4 linked regions of the Arabidopsis thaliana genome follow. The protein of the gene in region 3 interacts with the protein of the main gene of each other region in a biochemical or structural test. Each region holds a gene or a part of one and is shown on either strand. Other genes may lie near its edges.

Region 1 (8,455 bases), on a different chromosome or scaffold from region 3:
CGAAGACGCCTTAATAAAGCAAGTCAGGGAACTCCAGTGCCTGCATATAGAAACAATCAGGCACACTACCATAAACAAACAAACAAAAACAACCAGTTACTAGTGCAATAAGTTCGATGTTATGTTTGTTAATTACCACAAAACTGTGTACAAGTGATAGTCCAGTGGTATATCCTTACTACGAGTCAAGTTCTCAACGTCTCTTGGAACTGGATAAGTTCTACTTTCATCCATATCTGTGTACGTACTCTCTATATACATTGTGTCCTCACCAAACCCCATGGCTAGAGCTAGTTTAGGAACGTCAAGGTAGAACCACGCAAGCGAACTTGGATAATTTACTAGAGTATATATGCCTGGAGTTTCACTTTTCCTAACTACACCCACCACTTCCACATGCATAGCCCTAGAGACTTGGTCCTGCTAAAAAATATTCCAATAACACTTAACTATGATATCAAATCATGCAATGAATGATTGAGTACTCATTAAGTTTATGAAATGAAGACCAACCTCAACAATCATTGGGTTGTTCAACTTGTACCAGAACTTCGACAAGAGACTTTGTTGAGAGGAGAGAAGTTTATTAGCTTTTCTTGACTCTTTTGCAGCAGCAACAAGACCACCAGTACCTAGAGATTCTAGAGAATTTTCTTTCCAATCCGAAGGAACCCATCCGCGATTTACTAGAATAGGGGACTTCATACTAGTGACAAAAGGAAGAAGAAAAAGATAGTTAGACCATGTTTGTTTGTTTGTTTGTTTTGGTGCATTTGTATGCAACCTTATTTGTAAGAGACACAAAATTTGCAAGTATTTGCATCTAGTCTAGATGTTGCATCCAAACACTTAAATATACAAGAAAAAAGATATTTGCATCAAGATGGTATATATGGAGATCAAAAAGACTTTAGTTTGGTTTGCGCATATAGAGAGTAAATCCCTGACCTATTAGGTTCATTAGGGATTGGCAAAAGAGGTGTAATGACATAAAAGCCAATTTCAGAACTTTTAGACATGGATCTAGGCTTTGGACCCACATAGATCGATCTTTGCTCATCGAAAATGCCTTTGCATACCACCCGTCGAAATCCTAACCCATCCAAATCTTTCGTTGTATTCAGCTTCATTGGTTTCATTTCCAAGCATTGTTTTCTAGAATCAAGATGTTCCTTGTACTTGAAACAAAAGAGTTTGAACAAATTCTTTAGCAGATCAAAGAACAACACGTATAATTAAAATGTATATAATGAAAATCACAGACCACTTGTGTTTGTAGGAACTTATACGTCTCACCGAGACCATAAGTAGTGAATCCAACTAAGTACCATAACAACGCTGACCCTCTTTTCTTCTCTGCAAAACATTTTTACACAAAGATTCAGAACCAAGATTCAGAACTTAATCACAAATTAGACGAGAGAGAGCATGTGCAAGATACTTGCGGGTGGTGGAGCTGAAGAAAGCAATTGGCTCTCAAGATTGGAAGTTTGTGAAGCAGCAGGGAGATTGCTAGTAGTAGAAGAAGACATGTACTGACTTTGAGAAATCAACCTCTTAAATATCTTGGAAACGAGTTTTGTCATCTTTTTCTCCTCCAGGATCTTCTCTTTGTCTCATCCAAGATTCTTGATCTACTATATATGGCGACGACGACGAGGACTGATTAAGTATATAAACTAATGTTTTATTTTCTGATATAGCACATGGCACCAACTAATTAAATGACTTTCATCTGCTGGTGGAAATATTTTATATCAATTATCGAAAAAAAAGTATAAACATAAAGTTGACTTCAACAAAATCTAGAAGAGCTTGAATAGTCTTACTTTTATGTTTTTTATACACATGCAAGAGTAAAGACAAAACATACAGTATCCAAATTAAATTTATAGGATATATATAAATAACTTGCTTTTACAAGCCCAGTGTACTAAAATCTGAATAAACAAAAGCTATAACAACTATACTATAGTCTATAGGATACAGAGCCAGAGAAAAAAGAAAAAGCCTTTAGAACAATGAGGGGTCTAAATTGGTTTTAGTGCAGATGATGAGCTGGAGGACAGCTTACACATTCAGACATCAGTGTTCTACAGTCTATTGATGACTTGTTGTCTACGTAATAAGGTGATACGTTAATGACCCTGCAAGAAAACGAAGCCAATATACAGCAAACCTGTGTTTTGATATTGTGAATAAGTGAATAATCTTGTAGCTCAGTACCTTTCTTTGCGTTTCTCTAAGAACCGAGCCAAGGATGCTTTGCGTGTTTGTGGTAAACCCACTGTATTAAATCATAGCAAGATTTTTTGGTTATAACAAACTAAACCTAAGATAGAAGTTTGATGACAAAACATTAATAGGAGTTAAGACTTCATTTATAACCTGTTGGAGCCATAGAGAAGGCAGCAGTTTGGTTGTTGCGCGTGGATGCTAAACTCGCCTTTGTTTTTGTTGGTCCAAGTCCAGTAACCCCGTTGGATCCACTACTTCTGGTTTCAGAGACAATGTAAGAGATGGAAGGCAGGAAACTAGGAGGCATAGTTGGAGGATCAGTGGTTGGAAGAGAGTGATGAACCAGTTTTTGAGGTTTAGGTTGTGAAACCGGTTTAGCATGAGGTCCATTTCCGGCTAGCAACATGATAGCTTGGGCCTATGAATACAAAATAAATGAAGAAGTAAGGACAAAGATTTATCATATCTATGAATCATTAACATACTGTATGTTGAAACCAGGTTAGTAACTTTCTATAACTTCAGCATGTCTATACGTGAAACTTATTTCTTTGATTGAATACTTAGTCAGTGGATAGCTTGGACTGTAATGTAACACATATTGAAGGAAATTTGGTTACCTTTTCAGGAGCTATGTCTTGGTAAACTAATACTGAACCGGCATAAAAGATTGTCAACTGAGGGGGAAGTGGTTTTGAAGAAGATCTGGAGATGAACATAAAGGAGCTCGAGTCAACTATAGAAGTAAAGAGGTTCTGTATCTGATGTTAAACAGAAGAAGATAGAATGCAGTGCATGCCTAATAGTGGTTGGAGCAGGAAATACTGAAACTGGAGGTGCCATGATAGGAGATCCTCCTAAATGTTGGTGGTTTATGAAACTGTTGATGTAGTTTGGTTCGGACATGGAGACTGTGATGGTTGTTTGGTCTTGCTGACTGGAACCTGGGAACACTCTGTCTTCCTGAGATCATTTTGTATCAATTTTGAGACCAGAAGAAACTAAACCAATTGCCAAGCTTTCTTACAAGGTCACTAAATCACACTTTATCACTACTTTTTTTCTTTTCAAGAAATAGCCTAACCTGTAGTGAGCTGAAGTAAGTTCTCTGGTTTTGATCCATTGCAGCAGAAGAAAGCAAATGATCATTGACTGTGTTTACACGCGTTTCTTGTTGGGATGTCCCAAAAGAAAGAAACTGAGGACCAGAACCGACTTTGCTTGAGAATGACCAATCCATCATACCTCTACTTGGGGCTGAAACATGAGCAAATGTCTTTAGATTTTATCAAACTAGGAAACACTCAGATCTAGCTATGCTAAAGTGGACGACTCTTAACATTAGATTCATCAACAATGAACAAATCTGCATAAAGCCAAACACACTGGGGAAAATAGTGATCATACAAATACTTTCAAGAAATGGCACGTTTCGGAATATAAAAAGACAAGAACTAACTATTAAATTCCTCGTGGGTAAGTAAATTATTCATCCAAATTGTAACTTGATCTAAATTTAATACCCAACATGATCCTAACTTAATCAATGAGTCTACTTGGATAGAAATAAAACTTAATCAAGTCACAATCAATCTTGCTTTTATATAATTCAACTTGCATTTGTTGTTAAATCTCTAATCGTCAGCCGGTCGCTATATAACGCATTCTTTTCCCAACATTTCACGTCTTCGTTTTTAAATAATACTGATAGAATTCAAGTTGCTTAATAAACCTTAAAAAATGGCATAAACTTTTCAAAAAGAATAACCAGCCAATGTTCTAATTCTCAATATTCAATCCGGCTTTGAAAAAAACAATCTTTTCTAAAGAAGATACTATTGTATTGAAACCAATTGATCAATTTTGTAAGCAACAAAAAAAATATAGCATTTTTGTTCTGTCGGTGTCGGCTGTTTGAAGAAAAAAACGAAATTATTTTGAAAACACTCAACATTACCAACAGCTTTAGAAACATGCATCACCTAGTCACCTAGAAAATCAAGTTTGTTCTCTGAATATTATTTTTCAAAGATAATACTAACACTTGTTAAATTACTAACGTCAACAAGTTTGGTGTTTGCTTGTATAGTTGTATACTTGTACATTTGTAGTTTGCAAAAAATATTTAATGAAAAAAACTTCAAAAGTAGATCGTGAACGTATGAATTTTCTAACTATCGAGTCCCAAAACGTGTTTTTTCATCGGCTACGTCAAACAAATTCGAGTAGCTAAATTTCTGTCTATAGTACTAAAACCTAATTTCTTAAATATATATCAAGAAAAAAGAAACCCTAATTTATTTTTTCTCTTCCCGAGAAAACGAAGAAAAAATTTCTTGTTCAAGAAAAAACCAGACAGTAGGACTCCCAATCAAGCTAGAAAAACAATATATATGTACTTGAACAATAAACAAAAAAAGAGATTACAAAAATAGAAACAAAAAAAAGTGAGATGAAAAACACAATCATCAGATCATAATGGAAGATGTTGAAGATGAATTACCTGAATCTTCGTTAGTTTCCTCCTTCACAGTTATCGGAGATAACTTTGATCCCAGCCCGAGAAAATCTCTCTCCATCAGGCTTATCAATCGTTGAGAATACAAAAACGGTTTAGCTTTCGCGGGGGAGAAAAAAAATGTCACCGGAGAAGAGAAGAAATGAGAGATCAGAGAGAATTAGTAACAATTGAAGGACTTTGGAGAGAAATGAAAAACGTGAGTTGAAGTTACACACACCGCCGATTTATGATTCCTCTAATGATGTATACATATATTTTTTTAATATAAATCATCCGATGCGGTATGTGTATATCCCACGTCTGCTTTCCTGTTCCGGAATAAACTTCCAATATTAGAAATTCAATCATCGGATATAAATATATATATTTATTTTTATTTTGAACAACTTGGATATAAATATATAAATATATAAATATGTCGTTAATATCAAACTTAAAATAATGTTTTACATTATTTATTTTTATATTTAAAGCTGATAAGCATTATAATAAGAACCCTTATTCTCAAGTTAAAAGAGAGCAATTATTTGTAGTGCATTGAGTCATTGACTCATTCATTCTACACAACAAAACATGGTAATAATGTGGTTGAGAAGAGCTTTCACCGTCGTCTCGATCCCTCTTCATACAAAGTTTGAATTCTTGCTTTGGGTCATGCAGTGCCTCATTATTGATTTATCTTTGATTAATGTTTTTTTTAGATAAGAATTAACCTATAGATCGTAGCCATCCCGGATGAATGGCCTTCTTTTTTATAGAGATTGATGGTTTTTCTCGTTTAAAGTTTTTTTTGGTATGCTCATGTCCTTGTTAAAAAGGCTAGATTTCATTTGTTAAAATCTAGCATTTATGCTTCGTATTGGTTCTCCCATACGGAGAACTTCCTCTTTTACTGTTGTTAGATTTCGTTTGTTAATATATCAAAGTATTTTTGTTTTTGGATAAACCCTAAGAGTTCCTAAGAAAGAGGTTATTTTCGGAACTGTAAGAGTTAATAGTCATGAGGTTAAATTACAAGTACATGTACACTGCTGAGCTCCCATGTTCATACCAAGTTCGAGTGTATGGAGCTTACCCTTGGCATTATGAATTTATGAGCAAGCTGCAAAACTTGCCACATAGAACCAGAGCCAGACCAAAAAAATATAAGGCTCCATACGAATTATGGAAAAAACAATTCTTCTTGAGATTATATAAGTCATTACCATATAATATTTTTAAAATTAAAAATTAAAGTTTATAAATATATTCTAATAAGCTGATTTTATATAGGTTCCAGATTTTAAAAAGAAAAAACATAACAAAAAGAGAACGTTGAACACAAGTTTTAGCAAAGTTGTCGATAGAGGGACACAATGAGATATGGTTCCCATACGTTACTCCAAAGTATCCCTTTTTACTTGGTTGGTTGTGAAAAACAGAATTTGAGTAGAGAGACAATGAGAAAGTGGTATGTAATGTAGATTCGAGTTGCATTTTTTGCAATGAACAGGTAGAGAGACGAAGGAACACTTATTTTTCCACTGCGCCTACTCAAAAAAGATATGGGAAGACTTAACAAGGGGAATTCTCTCGGACAGATATTCGGCGAGTTGGACAGAGGTTATGAAAACTTTATCTAAAAACCTTCTATACAAAACGAAGAGCTACATACTTAGGTATGCACTACAGACAGAACTCTATACACTCAATTTGGAATGAACAAAATAGGAGGAGGCATCAGGCATGGGGAGCAATCATCACCGACGGAAATACTTGTGAAGATTATAGACAAGAATCTTAGAAACCGTTTGAGCACAATTCAAGGTAGTGGAGGATTGAAGTTCAAAGATGGCATCCAAGTTTGGTTTAAAACTTTGAATCAAGGCAATAGATAATAGACAATTAGAAGTTCCTTTTCTTTAAAAAAACTCTCAAAACAATTAGCATTTCATATGTAACAAGTTTATTTTTCTTTTTAATATAATTTAACATTAAATTCAAAAAGAAAAAGTTTTAACATATTTTTATTATAAAAATCTGAATTAATTTAGTAAGAAATAAATAAAAATACTTGTTATTCGAAAAATCTGAATTAGTTTAATTAGAAGTAAATAATTACAAAAATTATCTATTAGGTCCATATCAAATAATTTATATAGATATTATCTTCTAACATTAAATATAACTATAACTATTCAAATTTGTATCTAACAATTATTACTTTAGTGGGTGCAAATATATCAAATTCCAGCAGTGTTGAAAATTTGTTAGATTTCTTTATTCATATATAAATAATAATATGCCCAAAAGTTTCTAATATTAATTAAAGCTAAATTTTCGAAAGAAAAAAAAATGTTATTTGACTGCAACGATAATGAAAAATTAAAAATTAGTTGGATTGATTAACTCAATTATAAACAAAAATACGACCGAAATATCTTTTATTAATCAAAAATTCAAAACTATAACTTTTGTACATACATAATAAATTATTACACGATTTAGTATGAACATATAAAATCACAACGATAATTAAAATTAGTTAGATTTATTAATTTAAATATTTAAAATTACGCGCGAAAGGCGAAAGCTTCTATATAATATCAAAAAATTCAAAACTATGTAATTTCTTTCTATTTTTCTCCAAAAATTTAAAACTCTTCAAGTCACAATAAATTCATTTATGATAAAATCTTCAAGAAATTATATTCATAGTCTTATCTTTTTTGTTTTCTTCATTCATAGTCTTATCTACTTTACTCATTTATGCATATAAAATAAGAAAATGCAGTCCTTAGTACTTAATCTTCAGTTTGAAAGTCATTAACGTTTAATCATAGTCAAGTTTCGTCTTTAACAGGTTTGACTATTTGTTTCCCTAATCTTCTTCGTTTTAGGCTTTAATAAAAGATTAGTGTCCCACTTAACAGTTACGTCCGTCGTCTTCTTCGTCCATTCATCGAAAGCTTGGTTTTGAATTTTCTTAAGTTTTTGAAATCGTAACGGAGATTGAAGGTAAGAGACATAGCGAGAAGAGATTTTGCTTTTGAATTGGATATGGCGTTTTGGAATTTTGCCGTAACGTGTTTGTTGTGGTAAGGTTTGAGGTTTGGAAATCTCTCGAGAGAAGTCAAATATGGTGTTCAAGAGCAAACTCTTCTTCTCCTCGAAGAAATCGAGATCTTCTAGTCCCAGTAGCAGCAACAGTCCACGATCTGTTGGCTCCGATTCTCCGATTCGATCCGATAAGAAGAAACCGAAATCAAATTCTAAAGAGGAAACTCGGAGCCCTAATACGAAGAAGCATGTCTCAGCGAAGGGTAAAGAAGCTTCGTTAGAAGTTCACTCTTCTAGTCCAGGCAAATCAAACTCGTCATCTTCTGGTTCCGAGGCGAAGAAACCAATTACTGAAACGCCGGCGACTTCTGACGTGAAGGAGGAATCGCCGGCGTCGGTTTCGCCTATCATGGCTTCATCTTTGGGTTTGAATAGAATCAAGACGAGGTCTGGCCCGTTGCCGCAGGAAAGTTTTTTCAGTTTTGAGAATGATTATGCAATTCCGGTCTTACCGTGTTACAAGTTGTCGAAGTTGGATACTGGCAAGAAGGAAGCTGGAAGCAGCAAGGTAGATATTGGACCGCTAAGAAGCAGCAATCCCGCGTTGCTGGCTTCGGGAACTGGTATGACTTCAGATGCTCAAAATTCTCTTGATCA
Region 2 (7,675 bases), on a different chromosome or scaffold from region 3:
AAAATGGTTCTCGTGAACATAATTAGAGAGAACAATGGACATACAGCATGATACTTTGCTCGTAACCCAAGATGGGGTCGGAAGAGAAAGGAGTCAACTTCATCTATAACCACAGCCTGAAAAAAAATAACATTACATGAGCCAAAGAGAAGAATCCAAACAACCAATTAATAAACGAAATACTGAAACTGGCATAGGAAGGTTGAATAGCCGTACCTTCATGTTAGGATGATCAGCCAAAAGATTTGTCAGATGATAATCAGCATTAGATGCACTCTTGTTTTGAGGATCCCCCAACTATAATATAAAGTAATCCATGGAACAATTAAAGGGATCACAACTGAGAAATTTAAATTAGATACAAATATTTGAATGAACAACAAACAATACCTTGTTCACCAATGACACTAGCAATTTCCGCTCTTGTTCTGATTTGCTTGTCAACATGAAATATATTGTCTGAAACCAAACAAGAAAAAATTTACTGAAGGAAAGATCCGAATCACGTTACCAAGCAAAAAAACTCACTGTAGCTAAAAGAAAACTACGGACCATGCCGTTATGCATCATCCAGAGAAGGATTACATTGATGATACTCAAATCTCTAATATTAAAGCTCATCAAGAATCTTACAAAACCTGGAGACCAGTGCTACTAAACAAGCTAGCACGAGCAGAGTGGTGATAGGATATATACCTTTAAAGCCTTGTCCTTCAGCTCTGGAAGCATATCTTTAGATGATTCATCAAGGGCTGTGACGAAGCGCTCATACCTACAAAGTCAGCATGCTAAGCTGTTAAACGAATCATCGACCCAGAACAATTACGGATAGAAGACACAGATCTTTGACATAGTGTGATTAAACACATCCCTCATGGCATGATTTGAGATCTTTACCTCTGTTTCAAGCAATCCTCCCAGTACCAAAACAGCAAAAGCGAGTAACCATCCTTATTTTCCGGAATGATGTTTAAAGGTCGCTGTAAAAGTGACTTCAGCTTGCGATCAGGTAATAACCTGAAGAAAGAATTTAAAAAACCTCAGTCAATGAGAAAAAGATGCAAGACTGACACATAAATCCATAGCTCATTGTGTGAGTAAGAAAAATGTGCCTGATCAAAATTTCTGATAGAGCCTTAAGACCCTTAAATGCAAATCTTTTTCCAACCTTTGAGGTCACCATTCCTGCAATGAACAGAGTAGATAATGTGAACAAGACATCAACAAAATGCTACAGAGGATTTCACCATTGAAAAACAAAACCAGAAACATACCCAATAAGGCATCAAGAGATCTCATATTTGCAATGGGATTCTCTCCAACCATAATCTCAAAGGCAGTGATTTTATCAGCAACTGTCCCAGACTTTTGAGCAGAAATCACCATCTTCATATCTCCACCTTTTCCTTTCGAAGTTGCAAAGTCCTCTGCGTATTGCCACATCAATCTCTCTCCTAATTCTCTCTTCTTCTCCACCACACCCTTAAAATCCTCCTTATTCGCCACCGCCACTTTCCGGCCACCAAACACCTTCTCCTCAAACTCAGCTGCATCGTTGTACCATTCAGAGCTCAATAAACTCGCTTTCACCAATGGTAACTTAGGCAAACTCTTGAATTCATCGAAACGTTTTTTCTTGTACCCAGTACTCTCATCATCAATCGATAAGAATCCAGGCTTTGGCTTCGGTTGTAACGTTTGCTTCACCGGTGCATCTTTGTTTTGCTTCCTCGCTCCAAAATCTTTTCCCTTTTCATTCCCAATGTTCGATTTTGGCTCTCCTTCTTCATCTTCATCCTTGTGTTGCTGATCCTTCTTAGGCTTTTTCCGTTTCTGGGTTTTGGATTTAGCTGGTTTTCGGAAATCAGTGTCGTTGAAACCCGAAGAAGGAAGAGCAGAAGCTAAGCCAATAGAAGAAGCGAATGATGCGATATCAGATGTGAGAAGACTCAAGTCCTGCGATGATTTACTCAAAGGCTTTATCTTTGACATTTTTTCTCAAAGCATATGAAGAGGGTTAAGAGAGTTTTGTGAGAGATGACTGTTTTTAAAAGAACTGAGACAGTTAGGTTTAAGCAATCTCTGTGCTTTGAGATCGAACAATGAAAAAGAAAGATAAACTTCAATGTTTGGGGTTCAACAGAAATTTTTAGGGTTTTAGAAAACGGCAAGAGAGAAGCAGACAGAGGAAATGGTAGAAGGCTAATTTCGTAATTACGGGATAAGACAAGGGCAAAACAGACTTAACGACCTAAAATCAATGAGACGATGTTTTTTCATTAAGGTTGGGTTCCTGAGACGGTCCAGCCCAATCGCTAGAACATTCAATGCAAATCCATAACTGGTGAGATTTCGATCATGTGGTAAAATATTATACTAATATCTTTGATAGAAACATTATATGTATATCTTTGAAACCTATTATAGGTTAATATACTTTTGCCACTTAGAAAAATTACTAACAACGCAAATCCATCACTGGTGAGATTATATCAGGTGATTAAAAAATTTCGATAAAGGGTAATCCAGATGACAATTTTAATTAAAGAATCTAAAAAACAAGTATCAAAATATGTATGTTTTGAAATATAAATACTAGCTACGTAATACAGTACTATAAATAACTTAAATTGGTCAAAAGTAATGGAAGAAAATATAAAAGGGTATTTGGGTTCAAATCCTAAATAAGTGAAAACTAGAAACGTGAACTCGATCGTGCATTTTATACGCCCTAAAGCTTGAGTTCAAGGTTTTTGGAAGATTGTCCTTCTTTCTTGTCCACCTCCATCGGCATATGGTTATGGGCCTTTGGTTTTGGAGGAGTTGCAATGTGTTGCGACGATTGGCCTGACTTTATCGATGGAGCAACCATCTCTGGCTTGGGAGGAAGATGACTACCGTGTTGGTTCACTTGATATGGAGCTCTAGCCACAGCCCTGAAATCAAAACAATTAATCAACATTTAAGACAAAGTAGATATTGAAGTTTTGATTTACAAAGAACTCTTAGTTAGTGTTTTTTAACTAGAAATTTCTCGACATTTTACTAATAATTTTCCTAGATCAAGGACACATAGATGATGGACTCATATCTCTTATATACTACTCTAGGTCCCATCTCGAATTTCATTGTAACTTGTAAGATTTTTTACATGTTCTTTATAAATGATGACACTTGAGTCACATCTCGAAATCTTACTCTAGGAATCATAATTCATAAACATACTAGGACCACCCTATGTTCAATTTCATGAATGTTCAACTTAAACTTGATTGGTAATACGCTTCTAATCCGATGTGGGATTCCTAGAATAACTCGAATAAGTCTTAATATGGTAATTATTAGCTATTTTTACATATAACTTTTTTAAGAAACTTTGATCCTAATCTATGCATACATTTTGACGAGCGGCCTAGAAAAAGCATAACCAAGCACAAAACAGTTTCGGAGTTTAGTTTACCTGTCTTTTCGTTTAGCAAAGAATCGATGAAGAGAAGCTCTTCTTGCAATGCGTTCCACAACCTGATGTTGCTGCCCAGTTTCTTGATCTTCATTGTTCCCGGAACTCGTTGGCTCGTTAAGATCGGGAATCACCACGTTGCTTTTGTCAAGATTCATGTGACTCTGACTGTTCTTAGAATCAACAGCAACATGATTCGCTTCTTTAGCTACTTCCATTATCTCCTTAGCTTTGTCTTCAGGAAACTCGTTGAAAACCATAACTTTTCCTCCAAAGAATATGGTCAACTGTGAATTTCCAGACTCCGGTGCTACTTTTGCCGGTTCACTAAAATCAAATCAAACCCATTTTTACAATTAGTCAAACTCCATAGTCCATACATCTATAACCGGTAGTTCTTTCTCTAATTCAATTGCTACAAAATGTGAAAACAAACACTTTAGGAGTTCGAATACATATGAAGTTTGTGTGTACAGTACCTGAGATCAATATATATGGCTTTGTCTTCGGTAGAAGTAGAGGCCTCACCAATAGAAAACTTCTGAATCAACTTGAACGGTCTAGTTTCTGAGGTCTCTACCTTCTTAATCACATTTTGTTGTCCTAAAACAAATTAGAACAGAAATTGCAAACCGATTAAAATTTATCAAAATCAAATTACATGTTTATTACGTTTTTTAAAAAACTTCACAGAATCTCTAACTTTAATATACTTAAGCTGTCCAAAATAATACCATGCTTAAGTTTAAAGAAAAGAAAAGAAAAAAATGATTTAAAATTTTGCATTTCAACAAAAAAAATATATAGTTAAACTTTATGCTAATAATCAACGAAGCAGGATACTAAAAGTATATGATATAAACTTTGGTCTTTATAGGCGGCGGCCGTCGGAATAGATAGGGAAAAATAAATAAATACCTTTGAGATCGAATTTTCCGGCGAGTTCAAGATCGGATTTTCGAGCCAACCCCATATTAATATTCCCAAAACTTCCCTTCTCCTTCAAGTACCGGCTGAGCAGACTACATCTCTGAGAAAAATTGGACTTCTCCGGCGCTTGTCCCGTTGACATACTAGTGTGATGAAGATTACAACAACCCAAGATTTTCTTGTGTGACTTCTTTACACGTACAAAAAATCGAGGATTCCAAAGAGTATGTAGATGTTTTGAGCTTTTTGCTCATGTGTTGTTGTTATAAATAACCAATTCTAGCCAATAAGTTTCTGTGGCTTTTAACCTCTCCCGAATAAATAAAGAAAACGAAATAACGTGTTCTTTTTTTTTATTTAGTCTGAAGTGACAGTGATGTGTGTCCAATATAGAATGTTTTTGTCACGAGTTTTGTAACTTTTTTTTTTACACCTAACTGATCGATAGACATTTTTTTTTTTTTTTTGAACACAAAACTGATCAATAGACTAAACACACATTTTTCTTATGATGGTTCAAGAAGAAGAAATTCTTTTTATGGTCAAACATATTATAGGCTATTAATTTCCTATATCCTCAAATGTTTTGTCACGAATAGAAATAGGGAAATAAATTATATGCGGAAAAAATGATTTATTCCTATGGTTGATTACAAAAATCAAACTACAATGTTCGTTACAAGTTCCGGCACGTTTTCATTGCACAAGCCGTGAAGAAACTGTTGTAAGTTGACGGCGACATTACATAAAGGCGTTAACCCATTTAATTCATTCGGGTCCCAAGAGTTTCTGTTAAATACTAATTTACCCTTCTGAGGTAATTCGTTTAGTGGTGGTTAGGATATTCGTTATTAAAGGGCGTAAATGAGGGCATTTGCAAACGCTATAGTCTAACGGAGTTCTGACGGAGTTAAGTCTCGCGTCGGCTGCGATGGCTAATACGAATTTAATATGTGGGATCCATTAGCAACAGTACGACTTGTGAGTGGATATTTATCGATGAATGGTGTCAATTACTTATCCCCGACAAAGTTTAAGGACACGTGAAGTATTGTTATGTGCGTTTAGGATGTCAACACGTGTCGGAATCTTGGCGGTACCAACCTTATTTCATGCATGATTTGCGTTTTTTTTCCCTCTTTGCTAAAGGATATTATAGCGTTCATACTTCATAGGCCTAATTTTCTTTTCTGTTTTTAATTACAAAAACTGAGTGTAATTAATATTAGAATTTGTGGTTTTGTATGTTGGTAAAAGGTTAACGATTTCTGTTTAGTCCTAATATGAATTTTGTTACTTGCTCAGTTAAATATTATTTCTATAACAATAATAATAATAAAATCTTTTAATCGTTTTGTTCAATGAAGTCGAGCGTTGAATTTTATTTGAATAAGAGGCAATGCCAAAGAGTACCAAAAAAGAATTTAAAACAAAATGTCGTAGACGATCGCGCCAAGGGAAAAAATCATTTTTATTGAATTATTTATCGCAACTTGCAAAATGAGAACATAATACTTTGAACTTTGAAGACTCTTCAATATCATATGATTTCAAGAGTTGAACAACAACTTGAGTCTAATATATACACATGTATGTGTGTATTTAATTACACAATATAGATCCATTGTCATTTTCTAATACATACAAAAGACCAAATAATATTCGCTATTTCACATGAAGATTATCTACATTGTTGGAAGCGCAAGTTGGGTTTCGATCACATATTTGATCATGTCCAAAATAAGGGAATGTCATATTCTAACAGATTTGATATGCAAAAATCAAGATTGTGAGAAGATTCTACTAAGACTACCAAACCAACGTTAACGGCAAAAAAGAAAAGGCAACGGCGAAACCTTCCGGTCACCACTCGAAGTTGGACTCTCCTTTAAGCAATAGAGTATATCAACATTTATCAAATAAATAGTTGTTGTTTTGAGACCTAAGTTCATATATGGACATAATCAAGATGGTGTCAACAGTTTTGGGTTAGGTGTGCTTCAGACTTAATCTTTGAGCTGGGTAAGATTTCCTTTCTATCTAGTGTTACGAGCTAGCGTGTCTCTGTAACAGGTTGTCTTCGGGTAAGTTTGGTCTTGCAGCTTGAGCTTGTGGTGGGAATTCTCTGTACAGTCGTTATCTTCATAAATAAAATGGTACTTATCAGAAAATAAAATAAAATTAGAAGACAATATTGAAAGATTATACAACTCATTTGCATTGACGTATGACAATACTAAACATAAAATTTGTTTAAAATTTAGGGGTAACGACTACGAATGTAGGTCCGTTTTACAACAATGACTAAAACAAATTGGTTCTTTGACACCGACAGATACTTTGGATGTGAACACCAAAATGTTGCAGCTTCTTCACATGCTCCTCTTGTACTATGACAATAACATATGTGCCTAAAGATTATCGCATATTAATAAGTATCCATTACATGCGGAACAGGAATAACATTTTTTCAACAATTGCATAATTGAAACCGGATAGAAATACAACAAGGACACTAAGTCAAATCATTAGAATACATGTCATGGTCTACAGAAAATTAATAGATTAGACAAATATTTTGTTTAGTTGCATATAATATCATGAGTAATTGAGTATTAGAGTATTTTACTCATGATACATAAGAAACTTATAACTATTCTTTCGATATTCTCATATTTGGAAATAGTTAGGAACTGTAAAAGCTAAAACTGATTGATGATTACATTTGGTGGCGTCAATTTGTTTTACATTTATCAAATTTCTTTCTTTTTTCGGCATAGGGATACATTTTTTGTCATGCTATAGTGAGTAAATTAGAAATCCGACATAACTAAGCATCAGGAGGAAAATCCAAATGATGAAGTGGTCCACTTAAAAGGTCACGTTAGCTAGAACTGAACCAAATGTTGTACGAGTTTTAAGATTATATGCTCTTGGTCCTAATGCCAAAACCATTTGTTTTTCCCATAAAATTTATTTACATGCGTTATCTTGTAGTATGGCAAAATTTGGAGTATCACTTAATAGTTTTCACACGTAACACGTAAAAAATATAGTTTTGATAGTTGGTTTTACAACACTTTTACTTGATAGTTGTTCTTACAACACTTATACTTGTAATTAAGTCACTTCTACGGTTTAAAAATTATTTATAGAAACGATAATCAACTTTGTCCAAGTTTGGGCTTGGAAACTAAAATCAACATTATTCATATGGGCCAACCAAAAATGCATATCTTTAGCTTATTTTTTATTCGCTCTTGCTTTTCTCAATCTTCTTGACTC
Region 3 (7,856 bases):
CCTTTTTGGCATTATCTTTAGGAAATTTTTTTGACGTATTTTATTTTACTTATTAAAAGTGAAAAATCTTAAACATATTAATTAATATCTTGCATAACCAATTGACATTGTAATCATCACAATTAAATTTGATTAAAAATCCACTTTCTGCAAACAAACAAAGTTTTTTTTAATAAAGTCTATAACATATCGAGTATAATAGTATCAATATAGATTTTGATGATAACAACAATAGCCACGTCTCAATAGTTTTCAAAAAAAAGTTCTATAAAATAAAAACAGAGAAACGTGAACCTCATTGGAAGTTTTCCGACAAAGCTTCTTTCTTACTTTTTTTTCTCTGTCAATATCAAAAACATGTGAGAGACTCGTGGTCTTCTTACAGCATTCTGTCTTGAATATCACTGAAGATACCAGAAGCCAAAGTTCCAAGCTTCTTCTTTGTTTCTCCTGCTATGTTCACCAGCGACGATAGATCTTGTTGCGCCTGATCAAAAATTCGTCAAAAGGTTAAAAATGTGAAGAAGAACCAGAGATTCAGGTGTATGGATCTTTTACCTGGAAAGAAAGTCGGTTAATGAGATCACTAGCTGTTATATCAATATTGGAATCATCTTGGTCGTGACCGTAAAAATCAGCGCTTGAGATAGATGCTGAGCCCTGTAATTTCCAACAATGGCATTAGAATCGGAAGATGTTGTTATATGTTCCTTTGAGATTGTGGTGAATGTTGTTACTTACTGCAAACTTCTGAAGAGTAGCTTTTGATTCCAGATCAGCGTTTTTGTTCTGATCCCCAAAGTACTGAGCTGAAGATATGGACTTTGCGTTTGTGAACTTCTTTCTTGCTTCATCTGATTCTTCAACCTAGTAAGAGAAAAAGAAATGGTTTAGAAGAGGTTTGGAATTTCGATTTATTAATTTTGTTACTGAGAAATTATGTGTTTACTTGAGATTTTGAAGAGTTGGAGCTTGATTTCTTGGGAAAAGAACTGTCCATTCCAAAATCCGAAAAGAAGCTTGACGACTTTGGTGGAGCAACATGGTTAAGCACTTGTGTACCACCAACGCTTTGTCCTCCAGATTGCAGGTCGTCATTGTACTCAAACCGAGAGGCAAATGATGAACCAGCTGATGATTTGCTTTCCCCGTTATTTGTTGATGATACAGCGGGAATAACCGGTGCAACTTCTTCCGGTTTCTGCTCATAGAGATTGTCTTTTGGCTACATTTCACCAAAAACAAAATCCAATCTTTTAATCTGAACAAGAGAACAAAAACGTAAATGCTCCAAAAAAATACCCCTAAGACTTACCTTAGTAGTAAGCTTCCTTGCACCAAGACCACCAGTTTTTCCTGTCCTTTTAGCACCAATAGGTTTCTTAAACGTACTAGGCACAACTGTATTAGAAGCTTTAGGCGAAGAAGTAGCACTGGTAGCTTCATGTTTCGAAAGAGGTAACTCTTCCTTGACAGAATAAGAAGAAACCCCATTAGATACTTCCGGTAACTGAGAAGTAGCAACGGGAGATGACAGAAGACCAGAATTAGTTTCTTCCGCAATCGCTTTCGCAACTTCTTTAGCAAGAATCTGCCGATACAAATCAGCAGCTCTTGAAGTATACTTAGCTTCAATTTTGCCACCATCAGTCCATCCATGTTGCTTGAAGAAAACCTGAGCACGGTTGTTACCACCAAACATCATTGTCCTGAGCTGCTCCGGGCTCCAAGAGTCTAAATTCGTTGATCTATACAAAAACGGAAAAGGTAGCATCTTGAGAACGTAATGTGGCATTATTCAATATTATCTAGTCAATGAATCGATAATTTGAATGAGTCTAATTTCAAGACACTGGTGAAATTTTGAAGTCAACAATTCTGAAACCTTAAAACATAATCTGATGATTCAACCACACTAAAGTCAACGTAATGCTACACATTAGCCAACAATTCTGAACACCTGAGCACGGTTTAAGCTAATTCCCTTATAAAGGCCTCAAAAGCTTAAACCTTAGCCAAAATCTGAGCTAGAGTAATGCCGAAGAATTGGATCAGATGATGAATTGTTTACCTGACGAAGCTGATATGAACACCAAGATTCCGGTGAGTAGCTGAACAATCGATGCAGAGGAAAATCCCATATGTAACCGATGCCCAAGTTGGATTCTTCGCACTACAATCGAAGCAGACCTAAATTGGCAAATCAAAACCAAAATTAGCATAAATGAATCAAAGATCTAGTCAAACAACTCTCAGATCTAAACATACACAATATCAAATTGACGATACTCAAAGAAAGAGAAGAATTCAGAAAAAAATTTGATTACCTTGTTCTCAGATTTTGATTTGAGTTTTCTGAAAACAATGTTTTTGTCGGTAAGATTGTCAGCAGAAGAAGAAGCCATTGTAGATCAAATTGTTCAATTTGATCACCTCCTTGAAGAAATTTGAAAGATTTTTTAATTTGAAATCTTTCTTCTTCAAAATCTGTAAATCTAAAGGAAACAGTACTAACGTTTGATGGAAACATTTGATCTGACTAGACTGACGAAAACACCCTGAATAAACTCTAGAAATTACGAAAATGGCATTACGTAGAAACGACACGTAGTGTGTAAATTCCGTTTCTGAAGCAACATGGATGATATAAAACGGACGAAAGCTTATCATTTTCACCTTTTCTTAAACCTCAATTCAAAGATTACTTCCTAATTTGTCTAATCGTGTGTTATACATTTTTCGTATTAATATTATGTTTATCATATGGTTTAATACGTACAGGATTTGTTTTTAATATCTGAAGTTAACATGTATTAGTAAATTAAAATACGACTTTTTATAACTCCAGGTTTTCAAACTAACTAACGGTTTTCATTTTTGCCTTCTTTCCATAATATGTCTCACACATATTATATGCTAAAAGTTTCGCTATACTTGTTGTTGACCATACACTAAAAAATGTCAAATGTGAAATATTTGCGGGCTAGTTTTATTAACTACCCAAAATGTGTGAGGCCCAATATAAAGTAAAGCCCAGCTTAATTTGTTTTGTTTGCTTTTATGCGATTCCGAAATGTCACTGTACAGTAGACACTATAGTTTCGTCGGATATGAACATAGAGAGACCAACATTTTTGGGCATTTGCTCTCACTGAAAAAGAAAGCATATTATGAAATCTGGCCACTAAAAACACGAGACCCACACGACATAATGTGATTATTTTTGTGTGGTCGTATAATTTTCGTAATTAAATCTAATTCTGTTTTAATACTATACCTTTTATTTTCCTTTATGCTCTTGCGTCTCTTTCACCTTTGATATCAAAATCACCCATGTCTTTTTTTTGTTCTTTATCATTGCAAAAAGTTGTGTCCAATAACGAAGCCAACAAAAATATGTTTATAAGAAAATGTTAAACTACAAGTCTACAATATTTGCTTTATAGGTTTTGTATATAAATGTTGTATCCAAATCTTTGGTGTTAACACTCCCTTAATCCCTTTAAATCATATTTTCCTGCCTCAAAGAACAACTGCAATTCTACAAACTCATTGTTTAAATTAATTGATGCTACTTGCTTACAAGAATTAAATGATGGGATTAATCACAAGAAAAGCAGATATTGACACCAATACCAAAAGTGAGGGAGACAAGATCATTATTGTAAGTGAAATATCATTTTCATTCTTTAATTGTTCTTAATTATCAACTTTGATGTAAAAGGCTCCTTGACAAATTTGATCCGATTCTCTTACATAGATTAGTAATTTTCTTGTAAAACAATTACTATTCAGAAAAAAATTGTTTTCAATCAAGTTATGTATATAACCCAACTTCAGAAATAACTCAATCAATAATTCATATTTGGTGAAAATAAAAGTACTATTTCTTTTTCTTTAGAGTTAAAAAAAAAAAATGAATATAAACAGATTCCTTTTCCCGAAACAATCAAACCAAACACAAATATTTTGCTTAAAGAACTTACTTCTCTCCTCTGTCTCTCACCGGAAAAACAAAAAGTCTTCTCTTTTATAACTACGTCAGAGAACTGTTATGTCTCCGACGAATGTTCAAGTAACCGATTACCATCTCAACCAATCAAAAACGGATACAACAAATCTCTGGTCAACCGACGACGATGCATCGGTAATGGAAGCTTTCATCGGCGGCGGCTCCGATCATTCTTCTCTTTTTCCTCCACTTCCTCCTCCTCCTCTTCCTCAAGTCAACGAAGATAATCTCCAGCAACGTCTCCAAGCTTTAATCGAAGGAGCAAACGAGAACTGGACTTACGCCGTGTTCTGGCAATCATCTCACGGTTTCGCCGGAGAAGACAACAACAACAACAACACAGTGTTGTTAGGTTGGGGAGATGGTTATTACAAAGGAGAAGAAGAGAAGTCTAGAAAGAAGAAATCAAATCCAGCTAGTGCAGCTGAACAAGAGCATCGTAAGAGAGTGATTAGAGAGCTCAACTCTTTAATCTCCGGTGGTGTAGGAGGAGGAGATGAAGCTGGAGATGAAGAAGTTACAGATACTGAATGGTTCTTCTTAGTTTCAATGACACAGAGCTTTGTCAAGGGTACTGGTTTACCTGGTCAAGCTTTCTCAAATTCAGACACGATTTGGTTATCTGGTTCTAATGCTTTAGCTGGATCAAGTTGTGAGAGAGCTCGTCAAGGTCAGATTTATGGGTTACAAACAATGGTGTGTGTAGCGACAGAGAATGGTGTCGTTGAGCTTGGTTCGTCGGAGATTATTCATCAAAGTTCAGATCTTGTTGATAAAGTTGACACCTTTTTCAATTTTAACAATGGTGGTGGTGAATTTGGTTCTTGGGCGTTTAATTTGAATCCAGATCAAGGAGAGAATGATCCAGGTTTGTGGATTAGTGAACCTAATGGTGTTGACTCTGGTCTTGTAGCTGCTCCGGTGATGAATAATGGTGGAAATGACTCAACTTCTAATTCTGATTCTCAACCAATTTCTAAGCTTTGTAATGGAAGCTCTGTTGAAAACCCTAACCCTAAAGTTCTGAAATCTTGTGAAATGGTGAATTTCAAGAATGGGATTGAGAATGGTCAAGAAGAAGATAGTAGTAATAAGAAGAGATCACCGGTTTCGAATAATGAAGAAGGGATGCTTTCTTTTACCTCTGTTCTTCCATGTGACTCGAATCACTCTGATCTTGAAGCTTCAGTGGCTAAAGAAGCTGAGAGTAACAGAGTTGTGGTTGAACCGGAGAAGAAACCGAGGAAACGAGGGAGAAAACCGGCGAATGGAAGAGAAGAGCCTTTGAATCATGTAGAGGCAGAGAGACAGAGAAGAGAGAAGTTGAATCAGAGATTCTATTCTTTAAGAGCTGTGGTTCCTAATGTGTCTAAGATGGATAAAGCTTCTCTATTAGGAGATGCTATTTCGTATATCAGTGAGCTTAAGTCTAAGTTGCAAAAGGCTGAATCTGATAAAGAAGAGTTGCAGAAGCAGATTGATGTGATGAATAAAGAAGCGGGAAATGCGAAAAGTTCGGTAAAAGATCGAAAATGTTTGAATCAAGAATCGAGTGTGTTGATAGAGATGGAGGTTGATGTGAAGATTATTGGTTGGGATGCAATGATAAGGATTCAATGTAGTAAGAGGAATCATCCTGGTGCTAAGTTCATGGAAGCACTTAAGGAGTTGGATTTGGAAGTGAATCATGCGAGTTTATCGGTAGTGAATGATCTTATGATCCAACAAGCGACTGTGAAAATGGGGAATCAGTTTTTCACGCAAGATCAACTCAAGGTTGCTCTAACGGAGAAAGTTGGAGAATGTCCATGAATTGAAGTCAGCATCTTTAGGGCTAATACACCGGAGAATACTGCGAAAAGTCGAAAACAACGATCATAGTATAAGCCGCGGTAAAAAGTGTTAAACCTTTCACACAAGTTTCTCTAGTGAATGTAGTTGTAAACTCTATTGTGTAAGGGTAATTTTGTAGTACCCACTTGTTGCTATTGAATGCTTGTTAGAGAGGATTCTTAGTGTAGTATATGATTAGGTTGGGGTTTGTTGTTTCATGAGATAAATAAATGTGTTTGATCAATGGTTAAGTCTTTGGTTTGTTGGTGTATGTATGTAAATAAGGCTTTTGTTAGAAATAAGACAAATGGGACTGAAGTTGGAGTTTTTTGTTGTCTTTTGAGTTAAAGTTTGAGTATTTCACTTTCAAGTGAGTTTTTTGTGTTCATCATTTGGGACTAGTCATTGGGAAGTTGGCATCAAAAGAGGCATCTAATTTGTTAGGAACGAATATACCTACTTTTTTTTGTTTTCAATAGGGATAATTTAAATCAATCACAGCTATTTAGAGATTCCAATGTAGGACCTCAAAATTTATGTGGATGTTACATGATCATTATCGTTCTAAATAGTATTTTGAACCATAGATTACTTCAGAGTAATTAAGTTTGTCGCATAAATCATGATGCACAACATGCAAATGCTAAATGGATTTCTTGATATTGACAGAAGAAGTGAAACCACTAGAATAATACCCTTTAAAAAAATAAAAAAAAATCAATATATGTCATAAAGGTCCAAAATGGTGAAATCAAAATGAAACATGGGGATATAAACATAAGATGTCTTAAAAGGGTTGTGGGGGAGGGAAAGCGAGGTTATGAATCTTTGAAGAAAAAGTTAAAATCATACAAAAAAATCGTGGAGACATGTGTGGTCGATTATTAAAGAGATTTTTCTGCAACATATATTATTGTGTTTGTTTCCAAACATTTTAGCAATAATCTCCTCGAAAATGTGAGTGACAGTGCGAAGAGAACGTGTGAGTGATAAGAAGAAAGCATGCGCTTTTAAAATTATAGGGCACATTATCGCCAAATAAAAACAAAGAACGAAAGGAGACATTTATCATCTGTACATGTAATATTAACTATACTTTGTTTGATGATCGTTTTCTCATTCTGGATAACTTTAGATTAATTGTACGTAAAAGATGTACTAAATAGACTAATTCAGATTACAATTAGTTACCAAATGTACATTAAATAATGGCAATTTGATTACAATAGAGATTACAATTGGACTAGATTAAAACACTGTTTAGTGGCAGATTATTGACATAGTTATCATGCCGTAATAGTACGCATACATTCTAATGGAGTATTATAAAGATTTCAAGACGATCGAATATCCACCCCTTTGGTTTGCTAAATTTTCTTACCAATAGTATAATGTTGTTGCATGGTTGTCTGTGTCAAGAGTACTTTATTTGATGCTCCAAAGTGTGTGCGGATTTGGAATTTTTTAAACTGATCCATCACCCTTCATTTTGTATATATATATTTTAAAAGAATATAATATCAACAATTTGTTACAGATTTTACTTTTTAAAGGATAAAATCCATCGTCTCTGTTTGTTTTGAGATTTCTTTATTAAAGAAGTCCGTTTTTTTCTTAAGTTTGTTACGAAAAAGGAAAAATTAAATTTTGGATTTTCTTAAAACCTAAAACCCAAAAAGCCCAACAAAAGCTGGAAGTTTGAAACCATTCGAGCCTAGTAGCTATATGTAATATATTCATGTGTAATGAAGTAGCATGTGTCATGTGACATGGGCTGCCGAAAAGAAATTAGCTTATAACAAGGCTAGTCATTATTTAAAACGATATGATTCATTACATCTATCGTTTAAGAGAAATCAGATATATATATATATATACAAAGGCTTGATTCTTGAATGGACAAATTCAGTTTTAGCACGAGAGTTAGCGGAATAGCGTCAATCAACAAACTTAATGAATAGTTAGCAAATTCACAACAAAACATTTCCTGATGAGAGAGTACAAAATATTT
Region 4 (7,220 bases), on a different chromosome or scaffold from region 3:
TTGAGTAGAATGTTTGTGGCGAAAAGGTCTAAGCAGCTTCCTTTCTTCAAGATGTCGCAATGAATAGCCTTTGCTGAAATTGGGTCGTTCTTCTGAATGCAGCGACGGAGCATTGCACCGTAAGCATGAGAGTCTAAGCCTGGGATTATCGAATCCGACGATTCTAAATCCAATGCCGCAGTTTTCACAGAAAACCCACATTGTCGAATGCGATTGCATCGGATCATCAATCTGCGAGTCTGCGCAACATGAATTATTCTCATGAACACGATCATGCGGATTACGAGCAGAGTGGAGACAAGTAGTGGAGTAGTGTCCAATCCGGTTTATTCAAAACCGGTTTTTCCCAACTGAGATCGAATGATTCTGGATAAACCAAATTTAAAGAGATATGGGCCGGCCCAATAATGTGTAATAGTGTGACCCATGTGGCCCAGATTCGATAACCAAATTCAAAACTAGGGTTTCTCTGAGTCTAAAGGCTTCACCCTATAAAAGAGGGCTGTAGCTGTGATGACCCAACAGACTCAGATTCGTTTCGTTAGCTCTCCTTCTCAATACTCTTCGTTATTTGTTATTCCATGTTTAAGATCTGAATTTCTAAGCTAGGATTGCTAGAATTTGTTTTGAAGTTGGTGTTTAGTTTTCCTCTTGTTTTTCTGAATCTTAATTTCAACTGAAAAAATTGATTGAACGAATCGGAGCAGATGATGAATATTTTGCACTACAACGGTGCTTTCCTATAACTCATGCGGATTATATAAATCGAGCTTTTTAAAACTGATGTCCCGATTCGTCAATCTCTTTTCTAACTTCTGTTTTGTTTGCTCAAAACTGATAATGGTGAATTTTAAATTATGCAATTTCCTTTTTTTTTGGGTTATGAAATCTCTCAGTTCCGCAGATTGTATTGCCATCTAGCAAGTAATTTTTTTTATAATCAAATTTACAAGGATTTTCCTCAAATTAAGTATTCCTGTTTCTTAAGTTTGTTTCCAAACTGATGTGAATCAGTTAGTACAGGTTTTGTTTTTGGACATTCATTTTCTCGATCTGTTGATTGATATAGGATGTTTCATTCTATTGGAATGATTTGGCCGAATGCTATGTAAATAGCTGGTTGATATATTAGATTTTTTCCAGACGAACAGGATAAACTGTTGGTGTTGGACCAAATCGAATCAAATAATTAATTTGAATTACTCGTGATGAATCAAAGATATTAGGATTGGCTTATGCAGTCAACTTGACCAAAGCCAAACACTTGACTAATCTGAATCTGAATCTAAACCAAACATCTGAATCAGAGCTACTAATTAAAACTTGATATACGGTATTCCATCTTCAAAGCTTAAACAACATGATGTAAGTTTAGTACTCTCATTAGCCATTGCAATGTGCAAACTAAGTTTATGTCATCGCAGTAGATTAAATGAGAAGCAATTTACTTGACACAACTTAAAGAGACACGAAAACATTTTTAAGAAACTACATGTAATAAAAAAACTCTCACGTATGCACATGGTGGTATTTATTTCATATCAATAAGCTACAGTATCTTGGTTTCAATGATAAAGAAGACGCAGTGAATGGTTGTGTGGTTTTTGTTTCTTAAATCCGGACCAGCCATCCCTTTTTTGTTAGTACTAGTGATGGATACTATTCAATGAAAGGGGTAATTGTCTAAAAGAAGCCACACAAAGTACGTTCACTTTACCACTTCTTTTCATCTTCATTCCAATGTACAAATTCCACCAAACTCATGTTAAAAGACTTTTGACATAAAGACACAATTAGTCGGGTAGACTTGATAGTATTATATAACTAATACTCACGTGTTTCTTAAACTGTTTTCCATTATAACAATTAGGACAACCCAAGCTAGAGACCAACCAATATAATCAAAGATGAATGGCCACATTTCCTTTAATAATACTCTGATACGGAAGCTTCATGAGAAGCTAAAAGAGGCGTGTTATAATTTTCTTTACCATATACTAAAAAATAAAACAAAAGTAGAAGGTCACGGGATAAGAGAGAGCTTCTTAAATCAAGCTATCAATGACAATAAAGATAATAGACATTTTTAAAAACAAACCAATATATATAATCTTAGTAGGTAACGTAATCTCCTAAAAACGTTTGTCGTGAATAGTATACGATTTAGCAACGACGAAGAAGGCTTCAAAAGAAGATTGGAAATAAGCCAAATCCAAAAACGAACATGGATGTCTTCCGATTGAAAAAGACAAATTTGGTCCATGTCCCAATCTAAAAAGAGATCGTTTAGGCCGATGTCGGATAGTAAGGAGATGTTGATACTAATCTGCAAACACAACAAGACGAAAAAGAAAATGTGAAACCGCGTTTTGTGATAACTTATATAATATACAGATCTTTCTTTGGCCGTATGGTCTGATAAAAGTAAAAGTTCAAATTTTTTTCCGGTGTTTCTCCTCGTTTTCTCATCATTTTGAAAAATATAACTTGTCGGTGTAGCAAACAGAACTAGAGTCAAAGACTCAAAGTCAACGCGCTTTTTAAAAGTTCCATTACAATAGTAACCTACGTATACCGATATTACTACTGATCTCCATTATCTATCTACGTATAAGCATGTGCGTTGTTGAACAAAACTAGTTGAATCTTAAGTTGTATGTGAGAGTAAAAGAGGCAGGACCCATAATTACTATCTTAAATAACTTATAGTAAAAAAAAGGTCGAGAGAGAGAAAAATAAAAACCTTTCTTTAATTATTTGGGGGTAAAAATCCTTGGATTGTTGAAGAATCATTACCTCTCCTTGCGCTTCTCGAGAAAACGTTGCAGTGACTTTCTCCTTGCGATGGGAAGATCTGCATACACACGCATAAACCAGTTTCTTATCAGAAATTAAACAACATGTTTATACTTTTATTAATAACGTATATTAATACGTATAGACATAAACTATAGTCTTTAACTCTTTGATATCTAATTCCAAACTAATTAGCAACCAATTCCTCTCTAACAACAAACTCTTCTTAGATCTCTACATGCAATAATATGTAACTAAAATTCTAGAAGAATCCAGCACTAAGTGATTTTTATTTTTATTATACTAACCTCCTTCTAGATTCTGGCCAAAGAGCTTTGGTCTTAGAGTGGTCGGAAGAATTACCGAAAGATCTGTCTCCATCGACGACTCGTCTTTCTTAGATGCTGCTTCATTAGCGACCTTCATAATTTCACCAGCTTTGTTACGAGACACTTGGAAAACTGAAACACTTCCATTGTAGAAAATCGTCATAGGAACAGTTCCCGAAACGAGTTCGGTACTAGACCTGAGGAAAATGAATGTTTTGAAAATTTGAATTTCAAATTTTTTCGTCTTTTCTGGTAGCGCCAAAAAAGTTAGAAAGAAAAAAAAAACTTTACCGGAAAGACAAAAATACCTGGCGAGAGACGCGTGGACCGGAGAAATCGGGATCTGAGGCTGATCTTCCCTCGGAGTAGACGGAACCGAACGAGATTTAGCCGATGAATCGGAATTGTTTCCAGTGGAAGCTAACAGCGATTTGATAATCTCCGGATCGATTTTCGAAATCGCACCTTGAATATCTGCAGGAGTTCCATATGAATAAATTCGATTTATCGCAAGAAAAAAAAAAGAGAGAGCGACTAAAAACCAAACGAACCTCGGAAACTACGACGGCGATCGAGAAATTTCTGGAACTTAGGCTTAGGAGCGTTGTTGGTTTGTTTCTTCTCAAGTCCGAGGAAATCGAGTTCTATGGTAGCTTTCGACATCTTCTTTGATCTTATTAGAAAGTGAGAGAGAGATCAAGACAGAGAGATATGGGTTTTGAGATGAATAAATGGAGGAATAATAACGGATTCTGATTTCTCATGTGAGAGTTTTTAAAATGTAGTATGTCTCTGATACTTATTTAACGCACGAGGTTCATGCTTTCTCTTTCTTTTCGGCACAATTGGCAACCTATCCACTTTTTCCTTTTTGTTTTGTTTTTATTAGGCTCCCAACCTCTTCTCTTACTTATCTAATTAATTTAATGATTCAAAACACATGTTTAAATTCTTAATATACCTAATGTAATGTAATTGCTTGCTACGCAGAAAGAAGATATTTTATATCCGGAAATAACGGAAGTCCAATGAACATTGTAATGTTTTATAAAAATATATCTTCAAAAATTTGGTAACATGTTTCTGTTACTGTTCGTCACATTGGGTTCTTCTGACATTATATTTGTTTTCTACTCTAGTCTCTGATCTGTATATTTTTCTCGAAACATGTTTTTCTTTTCCATTTTTTCTTAATATGAATTTTAATCTTGCTACTACTAGCTCTACTAGTATAGCAAATCACATTTAGTAGATATCAGTCTTATTGATTTTTCAATATAAACAAAATTTGACATTACTATTCAAGAATAATATTTGGTTGACCTAATAATACAACTGAAATTTCTTACATTTCTAAACTAAAGTACACCAATAAACTTTCATCATATTTGGGAAAGTAACCAATAAAACATACAAATAGGGATTTTAGAACAATAAAATGTTGGTGGTGATTCACAGTTAGTGTTTTGAAAGAAGAAGAAAAAATAAGATTTTCAAATCCATTCAAAAAAAGATTTAAAGAAAACACCACTGCAGATGCATAAAGACTAGGTCAAGTCGGAACTTGGAAGTTTGTTTTCTGCCAAACCAGAAAAGACGGGTCGATCCTTTGGACGATGTCGATGGTTTTTCTTTTCTTTTCTTAGTTTCACATTTTGGCTGGTGTTTTTTTTTCACATGTGGCCGCTCTTTTTCTTGTTCTCTTGTTTAAAGCATATGTGGCTGCTCGTTTCCTAACAGATTTACATATTATTACATTGTTCTCAAGTAAAGTTATAGAGGGATTCAATGAACTCACGTTTTTCTTTCTTGTGAAAATATACCTTGAACCACTTCCGAATTAAATTGACCTCAATTTTCTATCTTGTGCTCAAATTTAAACTTCACCTTATTCTATCGCGCGCATGTTAGCTTAATTAGTTACATTTCTCCTTTTTACTATTTTAAATTAAAAATCATATAACTACAAAATGTAGTGATTACGAAAAGTAATTTTTTTAATTAATATTCTGAACTAATCAAATATTAAAAAAGAATTACGTATAAAAAACTTTTTTAGTAGTATATATTTGATGCCGAAAGTGAAAGTTTTTTTTTTTTTTTTTTCTTGGCAACCGAAAGTGAAAGAGTTAGATGCATGTCTTTCACGTGTTGGGAGCTGTAGTAGTAGTAGTTAATGTCAATACATATCATTATTCACTAGGCTAAGGTGCACTTCTCGATAAGTCTTTAGAGGTTTTCGTCGCTCTCTTTCATCTTCTCACGTTCCAGAGTCAATACGCCTTATTTATTCTTTTTCTTCCGATTATTTTTATTTGTGTTATCACACGTTTTGTCAGTGCTGCCGATTTTTAATGTCGATGTATTTTTCAAGCTGACTAATTTGCCCCTCTGTCCACCTTTCATATACGACCTTACCCTTCTTTTGGCCTTTAATCTCAGAAACACATATTTAACATTTTCAAATTTTTTGAATCGAATCTTGAAACGAAATATGAGAACACTAATGTATAGTGGATTTATTATATTGGATTTAACATGTATAGTGGATTCATCATTACTGTATTATCTATATTTTTTTTCTTGCATAAAACTAAATGGCCGAAACTTTAAGTCGTTTACAGCCCACACTAGTTAGTACCCTTACATAAGAATATAATTGAACCTATAGTTGAAAAGCCCCTTAAGGTAGTAAACCCATTTAGAGAAGAAAAGCCCATTTGAAGAAGTAAATCTGTAAATGAAACGGTTGTTCTTGTTGTCGTTCATTTCCAATACCATCCATAGTTTGCGTAAGGTTTGCTCGCCAAAGTCGTCGGATTCTGAATTCTAAACGCCGAGATCCGATGATACGAGTGATTGTTTCCGGCGAACTATGAGTGTTTTGAAGCAGGTTACGTGTAGAGAGAGCATCGATTGATGAATAAAAGCCAGGTTAGTGGTCTCGTATCGATTACTTGGTTCAGAAAAAAAAAGTAAAATCAATGGGCCAAATTTATTAAAATAAAATTGCAATGGAAGCTTCAACCATGAAACAGGAATACAAAACCAAACTCAAAAAAACAGTAAAGCTTCTTAATCAACAACAACAAGCGACTTATACTCATCTTTAGAAATAGCAGTCTCCATCATCATCACAGGATCAATCTCTCCATCATGTTCCAAAAACATTTTCATCAAATTCTTCGAAAAGCCACTCACCAAAGCCACTCCTTTCTTGTTTCCCGGCACCGGCGTTGCTCTCGAATCCCTCAAGTTCCAAAACACTATCTCCGGCACAACGTCTCCATACCCATTCTGTTTATACTTCCTCACAATCACTTCATAATCCGTTTCCCATCCATTACTTGGATTACTTGGAGGCTGCCTTAAAAATGCATAGCCTGGTCTTGAATAATGTGACGACGACGCCGCTTGATCAAACTCCATATCACTGAACACAAACACCCTCTTGATCATCTCTTCCGGCTTCAGCTTCTCTTGTACGGCCACTCCAAGAATCAAATCAAACACTTTCTGAAAATCAGTGTTCATACCCCATTGCATTTTTTTAACAAACTCTGTTTTTGAGTACAGATCGTCTCCTTTCACCAAATGCAACTCCGGATTTTGGCTGAAAGTTATTAGCTTTCCTTTCCATGGCTCTTCAGATAGCTCAGAGACTAGCAGACCCAAAGCCACACAAACCTCCATTGGTTCACCATTCATAGACCCTGAAACGTCACAGACAGCTATACAATTCCTCAAAGAACCTTTCTCTTTCATATCATCTACCGTTCTCTTCCATTGCAGCTCTGCTACTTGTCCACCGTCTCCACCGTCTAACTCTCTGATTATCTCATGAGGCAACACAGCACCAGCAGCTACCTTGGTTTTCCCCGCCTTTGCATCGTCAAGATATTGCTGAAACCTCTCTGCGTCGTGCTTCAAGAATATCTCCTTGTACGACTTCATCGCCACTGATGCTACACGGTTGTACGGAAGAATATCCCAGTTTCTCGCTCCCATATATACTTCAGGCAGTTGCAGAGTTTTACGCAGAGGAACAAGAACATCTTTCCTTAGCCGATCACGAACTCTGTATGCATAGTGAGC

Evidence for each region.
Region 1: the proteins of MYC4 (region 3) and JAZ4 form a complex in vitro, tested with the Arabidopsis thaliana proteins (one study listed by BioGRID).
Region 2: the proteins of MYC4 (region 3) and JAZ6 form a complex in vitro, tested with the Arabidopsis thaliana proteins (one study listed by BioGRID).
Region 4: the proteins of MYC4 (region 3) and JAZ10 form a complex in vitro, tested with the Arabidopsis thaliana proteins (one study listed by BioGRID).

The regions. Positions count from the first base shown.
Region 1 is NC_003070.9:17,928,020-17,936,474, reverse strand, and holds JAZ4 (jasmonate-zim-domain protein 4), read right to left. Parts: upstream 5,086-8,455; 5' UTR 4,818-5,085; coding exon 4,742-4,817; intron 3,876-4,741; exon of another isoform or gene 3,496-3,875; coding exon 3,323-3,495; intron 3,202-3,322; coding exon 3,038-3,201; intron 2,944-3,037; coding exon 2,859-2,943; intron 2,657-2,858; coding exon 2,389-2,656; intron 2,288-2,388; coding exon 2,227-2,287; coding exon of another isoform or gene 2,220-2,226; exon of another isoform or gene 2,148-2,219; coding exon 2,042-2,147; 3' UTR 1,813-2,041; downstream 1-1,812. Other genes in the region: AT1G48510 (Surfeit locus 1 cytochrome c oxidase biogenesis protein), read right to left, coding at 1-40, 137-423, 514-706, 949-1,178, 1,265-1,356, 1,442-1,586; AT1G48490 (Protein kinase superfamily protein), read left to right, coding at 7,878-8,421. UniProt on the Arabidopsis thaliana protein: Repressor of jasmonate responses. Interacts with and suppresses RHD6 and RSL1 transcription factor activities to negatively regulate jasmonate-stimulated root hair development.
Region 2 is NC_003070.9:27,271,605-27,279,279, forward strand, and holds JAZ6 (jasmonate-zim-domain protein 6), read right to left. Parts: upstream 4,959-7,675; 5' UTR 4,533-4,958; coding exon 4,379-4,532; intron 4,064-4,378; coding exon 3,940-4,063; intron 3,788-3,939; coding exon 3,461-3,787; coding exon of another isoform or gene 3,457-3,460; exon of another isoform or gene 2,937-3,456; coding exon 2,732-2,936; 3' UTR 2,364-2,731; downstream 1-2,363. Other genes in the region: EDA25 (CCAAT-binding factor), read right to left, coding at 45-116, 217-297, 391-459, 697-772, 898-1,017, 1,113-1,185, 1,275-1,992. UniProt on the Arabidopsis thaliana protein: Repressor of jasmonate responses.
Region 3 is NC_003075.7:9,931,670-9,939,525, reverse strand, and holds MYC4 (Basic helix-loop-helix (bHLH) DNA-binding family protein), read left to right. Parts: upstream 1-3,840; 5' UTR 3,841-4,054; coding exon 4,055-5,824; 3' UTR 5,825-6,200; downstream 6,201-7,856. Other genes in the region: AGD8 (ARF-GAP domain 8), read right to left, coding at 380-487, 559-660, 742-867, 950-1,225, 1,316-1,748, 2,072-2,190, 2,328-2,405. UniProt on the Arabidopsis thaliana protein: Transcription factor involved in jasmonic acid (JA) gene regulation. With MYC2 and MYC3, controls additively subsets of JA-dependent responses. Can form complexes with all known glucosinolate-related MYBs to regulate glucosinolate biosynthesis.
Region 4 is NC_003076.8:4,215,569-4,222,788, reverse strand, and holds JAZ10 (jasmonate-zim-domain protein 10), read right to left. Parts: upstream 3,962-7,220; 5' UTR 3,789-3,961; coding exon 3,677-3,788; intron 3,600-3,676; coding exon 3,105-3,599; coding exon of another isoform or gene 3,100-3,104; exon of another isoform or gene 2,855-3,099; coding exon 2,793-2,854; coding exon of another isoform or gene 2,750-2,792; 3' UTR 2,327-2,749; coding exon of another isoform or gene 2,287-2,326; 3' UTR 1,876-2,286; downstream 1-1,875. Other genes in the region: AT5G13230 (Tetratricopeptide repeat (TPR)-like superfamily protein), read right to left, coding at 1-275; AT5G13210 (Uncharacterized conserved protein UCP015417, vWA), read right to left, coding at 6,201-7,220. UniProt on the Arabidopsis thaliana protein: Repressor of jasmonate (JA) responses. Interacts with and suppresses RHD6 and RSL1 transcription factor activities to negatively regulate jasmonate-stimulated root hair development.